2 linked regions of the Drosophila melanogaster genome follow. The protein of the gene in region 1 interacts with the protein of each later gene in a pairwise test. Each region holds a gene or a part of one and is shown in the gene's direction. Other genes may lie near its edges. The genes, in order: MFS18 and CG42597.

Region 1 (3,931 bases):
CTGATTTGGAGTTTTTGGTTTATTTTTTTTTAAATGCAAATGTGTAAATATGTATGCGTGAATTAACGGAATTTTTCGCTTGATGGTTAGAGAAATTTATGATTTATGAAGAAATTGGTTTTCTGTTTAATCCTGATTATCACTACACTTGTTTTTTTTTTGGCCTGTACAAAGAAAGTCAAAACTATCTCAAACATTGATCTTTGTTTACGTTTATTGAATTATACCCAATTGGTATTTAATACAAGAAATTATTTTTTTGTTAACAAATAATAAAGAAAAAATTTTTTGCGCAAATTCAAGTATGTTTAATAATAAATAATAAAACTAATGTCACGGATCTTCTTCCGCCAGTTCCTGCCGAAAATGTCACTCCCACAACTGATGCTGCTCCTGTTGCCGCTTCGGCGGCTACTCCTGCGGCAGCTCCAACACTGCCCACGCCCAATACTATCGTGATTAACCTATCTGGCTGTGAGGACTCGATTGACGACTCCAGTGGAAAATTATCGCGCAAGGGTAAGCGCAAGGACAAGCACAAAAACAAACACAACCTGTCGTCGGATACAGAGAAATCGATCGGCAAGGAGCATAAACGGAAGCGAAAAAAGCGCGCCCACCTTGACGAGTCTTCCACCCATTTGGATAACGCGGGCAACACCTCGGGCAGCACCATTAAGATTATATTCAAGGCATTGCGTTTACCCGGCGAGGATGCGCCGGAGTCTCAATACTTCTACGTGCCGGCCAATGCGGTGCGCTCCGTGGACGAAGCCTCGCGCCCCACCTCAGTTGAAACAGTCGAGGACAGTGTCCAGGGAGCGGAGCAAGCCTTGGCACCCATCGTGCTGCCGGCAGCGTCACCGCAAAAGGTTCGGGAGCCCAAGGAGACTGCGGCCAGCGCTTCCGTCAACCCCACACCATCACCTAAAAGAAAGGTCAGTCCACGAAAGGCAAGTCCCCGAAAGCCGCGTGTGGGTCGACCACGGGTGTCCAACGCCAAGCCTAATGTGGAAATCAGCTGCTGCGTGTGCAGCCAGACGGGCAAGTCCAACCAGGTGGTGACCTGCGACGAGTGCCACCGGCACTATCACTTCGCCTGCCTCGATCCGCCGCTCAAGAAGTCGCCCAAGATTCGCGGCTACTCCTGGCACTGTGCCGACTGTGATCCCACGGACGAGGATGCACTGCCCAAGAAATAGAAGCAAACATGATTTTTACGTAGATTTTGTACCATTAATATCATTAGGTCCGTGCGATATTTACAAAACTAAAATTGAATACACAAAATAAAATAAGTAAGACACATTCATATTAAAAATAAAATATTGACCAAATTGTAATTTGTCACTCGCTGAATTGTTCGGCTCAGTTATTTAACATATTTATAAATACATTTATTAATAAAAACCATATAAATATTACCGAATTGGATTTCATTAAAGACGGAACCCGAAAAGGACTCATGAGACGTTCAACCGACATGATACGAAAACGGAAATTAATTTAACATTGTTGTTTATTATTTAGCATGACCAGCATTCCATCTCATTTTTGATTCTTAAATACACATATAAAATTATACAATTTTCAAATTATTAACGATCTGACCACGAATGTTGACCATGTTTTGGTGTTTTAGCAAGGAAACTCTGCATTTTTCCATCATATTCCTGAAAACAATCAGAGTTATGGACAAGTACCAAATACCAATTCCAATACAATTGATTTGTATTTTATCGGCATTCCACTGGCATTTCCGTTAAATGTGCTGTTAGGAGCCCAACCACATGTTGTGCTATCGAATGATAATCGATTCACGGCATTCGATATCATATAAACAACGAAATCGATGTACTTTTCGGTATGCCCTACACCGGGCTTAGAAGAGAACATTAATTTAGTACTTAGGTTAATTTATATCTATATATTTGCAACCTATAGTCAGTTTAAAGGAAATATATTCTTTATGTTTTGATTTTTTAGCTCGAACTACAAATGATATATGTTTATGCTTAAATACAATATTGTTGAAAAGATATTATGCTATAAAGTGAAGTCTATAGCCAAGTCGACCAAGCCGCACTATGCTCTAGTCCAGCGGCTGTTGGAAAAACGGCCACGTAAAAACATAATTTTAACAGGCGCAAATACTTGGCGTGTCTAGTCGCCAACGTGAATGAAAGTAAACAAAGGGCAGTAAAATATGCCACAGCGGCAAGCAACGAAGCAGTTGGAGTTGATATGTGACGTGAAGGAAAGGCAATAGTTCCGGACCCAGTTTGTGACCATGGACGAGAAGCTAAAATATTCTCTGCTGCGCGGGGAACTGGTGGACACGCAGAGCATTTGGACCAGGTGGGTCTCACAGCATACAGCTCACTAAACCTCCCCAAGTACAACTCCTTTGTCGGATCATTGCAGGCATGAGAAGCGTGTCTGGTTCATCACCCTTATTACGGGCACCTGTATGCTGTACTCCACCCGCACCACTATGCCACTTCTTGTGCCGGCCGTGGCATCCGCCCAAAAGTGGAGCAAAACCGACTCGGGCACTGTGCTCAGCTCCTTCTTCTGGGGCTACACACTCACGCAGGTTGTGGGCGGCTACTTCAGCGACCGCTTTGGAGGCCAGCGAGTCATTCTGTTTGCCGCAATCGGCTGGTCGCTTATCACATTCCTAATGCCCACTATCATCTGGACGGCGGGCTCCATCAAGAGTTACGCTATTCCCTTCATTGTTGCCATTCGAATCCTGAACGGCGCTCTTCAGGGCGTGCACTTTCCTAGCATGATTAGTCTAACCAGTCAGGTGCTTAGCTAATTTTATAAATTTACACATAAACTATAACTTAATCGTTTGCAGAATTTGTGCCCCAATGAGAGAAGCAGCTTCTTTGGGCTGCTCACAGCGGGATCGGCTCTAGGTACTCTTCTGACTGGGATTATGGGATCTTTTCTGCTGGACTACTTCGGCTGGTCGTATGTATTCCGGGTGATAGGACTGATGGGCATCGCATGGGCGCTGGTGCTGCGCTACTATGCAATGGCCGGCGAGCGAAACCGAATCATTAATATTGCCACGCCATCCCGACTGTGCGCGAACAAGAGTCCGGCAGAGACGTCAGCCGTGCCTTGGTTGCGATACTTTCGTAGGCTGTCCTTCTGGGCCTGTGTGCTGACTCACGCCTGCGAGATGAACTGCTTCTTCGTGCTACTCTCCTGGCTGCCTACATACTTCCACGACGGCTTTCCACACGCCAAGGGTTGGGTAGTGAACATGATCCCGTGGCTTGCCCTGCCACCGTGCACGCTATTCGCCAAGTACTTGACCACCAGATTACTCGCTCGCGAATGGCACACGACGACGGTGCGCAAGGTCATCCAAAGTTGCTGCTTTGCCGCTCAGAATCTGGCCCTGTTTGTGATGAGCCGCACCTCGGACTTCCATACGGCGCTCATCTGCATGACCATTATCATTGGCGGCACGGGCTTCCACAACAACGCGGTAACAGTGAATCCCCAAGACCTGGCACCTCTGCATTCGGGCAGCGTCTTTGGCCTGATGAACACAGTGGGCGCGATTCCTGGCTTTCTCGGAGTATACTTGGCCGGACACATTCTGGAGCTCACACAAAGCTGGCCGATGGTGTTCAGCGCCGCTGCTGGCATCAATTTGGTTGGCTGGATCATATTTATAGTCTTTGGTTCGGCGGAAGCCATCGTTTAACATTCTCTTGCACACTTTCCTCAGAAAAACTAACCTATTTATTTATGTGTGGGGTATATTGGAGTGGATCGATTTATGTTCATGCTGCTTATATTATTTAGTATACACGTTTATGATTGACGATCATTTAGTTGTTCTTGTGAGATGTTAAAGCCAAAAAATATGTGGTATCATTGATACTTTAAAGGACCCTGTGAGTTT
Region 2 (3,571 bases), about 18 Mb from region 1:
TTCTCATTTTATTCCCCAATATCTATCAATATCCCAGAAAAATTATGAAATTTCGCGTTTGTATTCACACTAGCTGAGTAATGGGTATCTGATGGTCGGGGAAGTCGACTATAGCATTCTATCTTCTTTTTTGCATATTGTTCCAAAAAAGTATTAAAATATCTCGTTCATACTTTTAGCTGAGTACCGGGTATCGATATACCAAAAACATATTGGGCACACCCACTCTAACGTCACACCCACTCGGCGTCCACCATAACGCCTACAATCCACAGAAAAGCCGCAGCGGCCACAATTTTCGAAAATGTTATAAGTTTATTATTTTTTTATGTTTCTTGGTTAAAATTTGGAAGCGTTGTCATTAAGCGTTGGTGAAGTGCATCGATGGCGTAGATTGGTTCCCAACCACAACAAGAATTCCTTTTGTGTAATTGGCTGATTTGAAACCACGTCTATACGTGAATAACGCTTTTCGGAACCGCACCTCAAGACCAGGATCAGATTGGTACGCTTACCGTCTACCCGGTAGTCCTTACTGTCCTGATGCAGAGCAATAGTTTCGTAGATGGAGTAGACTTTTCCAACATTTAGCCGCACAAAGGATCCAATCACAGCCTCCGCGAAAATAGGTTTACCCAGTAAGTTCTTTATGTCGTTCCGTTTTAACACTGCTCGACTCAGCTGTTCCAGGTTGGATACGCGTTCATCGCTTTCAACGTTCGTTTGCGGATCGTTTTGGGCTGTATTCTCGCTCTCACTGTTAGGCGAGGAATCGCCGGAATAAGTCTCTTTGACCTCGATATTTACATCCTTACGCGTTTGTGCCTTGCAATCATCACTAGACTTCGTCTGCTCTGCACTGTCTTCGGAACATTTTCCCTTGCTCAATTTAATGGTGCGAATTGCCAATAATCGCTCAAAAGCATGTGCTGTTTTGCCACCAGACTCCAGTTTATTTGCGATCTTACGTCTTGTCCGTAAGCGCTCAACCATTTTTTTATACTTTTACTCTACGAATATCGGGTATAAAAAGTTTAATTGTAAATTCGATGAATTATTCAAAAATGCGAATCATAGGTAGGCCTCAGCAGGAATCATATTTATATGAACTTTTTTTTAATACTAAAACTACCGGATATTCAACTGGCAGTTTTTGTAATATTACAAATATGTTAAATTCTCGCAGCTGTTCAGTGTTCCTCATTCAATTTGCTTCGCTCGACATCGGCAAATATGAGTTTTGATATTGGAATTTTTGGTGGCGGCTGTTCAATAAGCACAAAAAACCGTAATAAGCTAGAATCCACGACAGGTGACTGAGTTAGCAGGAGAAAAAAAATATGCGCACACAAAAGCGAACCATTTTGTGTGGGTCTGGCGAGCAGTACGCGTATTCTTATTTGGCTAAATGACAAAACTTCATCAAAGTGAGCTTACGACTTCCTTGCTTTGATAAAAATTCCAATTTCTTTTTAGTGATGTTGGCTTTTGGCCGGACTTCCATTGGATATCTAATTGGAATTTAAAATGGCGGCACAATTAAATGGTACTGCTATATAAATAATTCTACAGCAATTGTTTGCAAGAAACACTAATTTAAGTAAAATGCAAATGATTTCCGGTATTAGGAGCACGGAGTGGAGCCAGAAGTGGTGCTCCGCATTCGAGGTGAGTGCGTTGGGGATGTATCTTCTGGATATTGCATGAGATTCGTATCCCCTCCACCTAAGTTTTCAATTGCGATTCAGTTTCGTTTCCATGTTGCAACTATAGCAACGACGACGACGTCATACGATTAACGTGAGCTGCATATTTTCGGCTAATTTTCTAATTAAAATGATATTTATGCATTTTTTAGCTGACAGAATTAAACATTCAGTGCCAAAGCCAATTTTTACAGGCAAAGTGAACAATGAAGCACGTACTAACCTCTCGCATAAAGATATTGACATTACATATTACAAAAGATAAGGGAGTAGGTATAATCCGTTTTAAAAGGTAGTGGTAAAGGTAAGGTAGACTTCATAAAAATCAATCAATTTTTTATCTGCTTTAGTCTTCCACGAGTTCAGCTGGTTTTCAACTTTGAAGTCCCTAAAGTTTTCATTTAACTTGCCAACGCAATACAGGAATTATTCTCCGACCCAGCAAGCATTTTAAATTGAAACAAACAAAACAATGTGTTTTGTTTTTTTTACCTTATTCATTCTAAATTTGTGTAACTTATACATATTTACAAGACCGCGCAGGCAAGTCACTTCTAACGTCTATATACAGGCAATACCCGATAGTTAACCAATATCCCTTTCTAAGGAAATGACCAGTCCCACGCCTGTTCTATTGGCCTTCGTTGTGCACATGGTGCTCCACACAACGCTCTTCATACATCTAGATCCGGGTATAATTGCAGACACCCCCGTCTTTGGTAGCCAGTTATTCTATTTATCAGTGATGGATCTGCTGTGCGACACAGAGGTAATACCCACGCACTGGAGTAACATTCCGCGGTGGGGAAAGTTTATCCTTGAGACCATTATCGCCATCCTTATTGGCGAAACTTTGATGGTGGGCGTATGGCTTTCCATGGAAACGCTTCTCGTCAACTTTATAAATGTTATAACCAATTGGTTGGGCCTGGGCAGCCGTACAAACACTAATTTCCAGGAGATCGGCACGATTTTATTGGGAGTTATCTTTTTAGTGATAGTGGGTGCCATTACAAATCGACCGGCCAAAGTTTGGAAAATGGCACAACAGTCTTGGAGAATCATCACACAACAAAGTCGTCCTTCGTCCAAACAGAAATCTTTTAAATAAGCAAAAGGACCCACATCGTTTTCGGTTCCTTCTATTAATTTGGGATACCATTTCTAGTTTATGTGCACTTTTTTATTAAAAGGGTGCTCAAAAAAAAAAAATTGGTTATCTCTAATTTCAAGTACCCATCTCTTTGTTCTTTTAACAGTGAAATAGTCAAATATAGTCTTTGATATCTATGCACCCCAATGCTTAATGAAGCTCGATATTCACAAAAGGATGCGATGCACCTTTGTAAATGTTAGCATACGACCTTTACTTAAGAAGAACAACAGGTTTTTCTAATGTCTCGATTCGAAGCCATAGGGCAATTAAATATGTCACGGGTGGGAGCGGAAACTTGTAAGACATTTAACTGTTTGGGCGCGCTTAAATGGAATCTGAGTGAAATAATTACCGTTGGAGAAAATGATTTCGAACAAATCATGTCTTACGGTTATTATACAAAAGGACATCCGTGATCCCTTAGGCAAGAAAATTCGAGAAACATAAGCTGCAGTTGCGCTAAAGGTGTGGGTGTAATTAGTAACATTTGTGCCACCAAACAATTAACATAGAAAGTGGCTCGAACTCTGTGAAGAACACATGTGCGATTGACTCTCTCTTGGGCCATTATGTAATAAAAAGCGCTACTTATGTTTACTTAATGTATTGTATATCCTACAACACGAAACTCAAAAAATTTGAGATAAAAGAGAAAAGTTGAGTTTTTCAAACTAGTATTTTAGACCCTTTACTCAGATAGTTGGTGTGT

What was found.
Region 2: the proteins of MFS18 (region 1) and CG42597 interact in a two-hybrid assay, tested with the Drosophila melanogaster proteins (one large-scale study listed by BioGRID).

Annotation. Positions count from the first base shown.
Region 1 is NT_033779.5:4,446,787-4,450,717, reverse strand, and holds the start of MFS18 (major facilitator superfamily transporter 18), read left to right. Parts: upstream 1-2,082; 5' UTR 2,083-2,290; coding exon 2,291-2,358; intron 2,359-2,424; coding exon 2,425-2,812; intron 2,813-2,866; coding exon 2,867-3,730; 3' UTR 3,731-3,931. Other genes in the region: CG15439 (uncharacterized protein), read left to right, coding at 355-1,202.
Region 2 is NT_033779.5:22,063,939-22,067,509, reverse strand, and holds CG42597 (uncharacterized protein), read left to right. Parts: upstream 1-2,166; 5' UTR 2,167-2,249; intron 2,250-2,313; 5' UTR 2,314-2,316; coding exon 2,317-2,817; 3' UTR 2,818-2,906; downstream 2,907-3,571.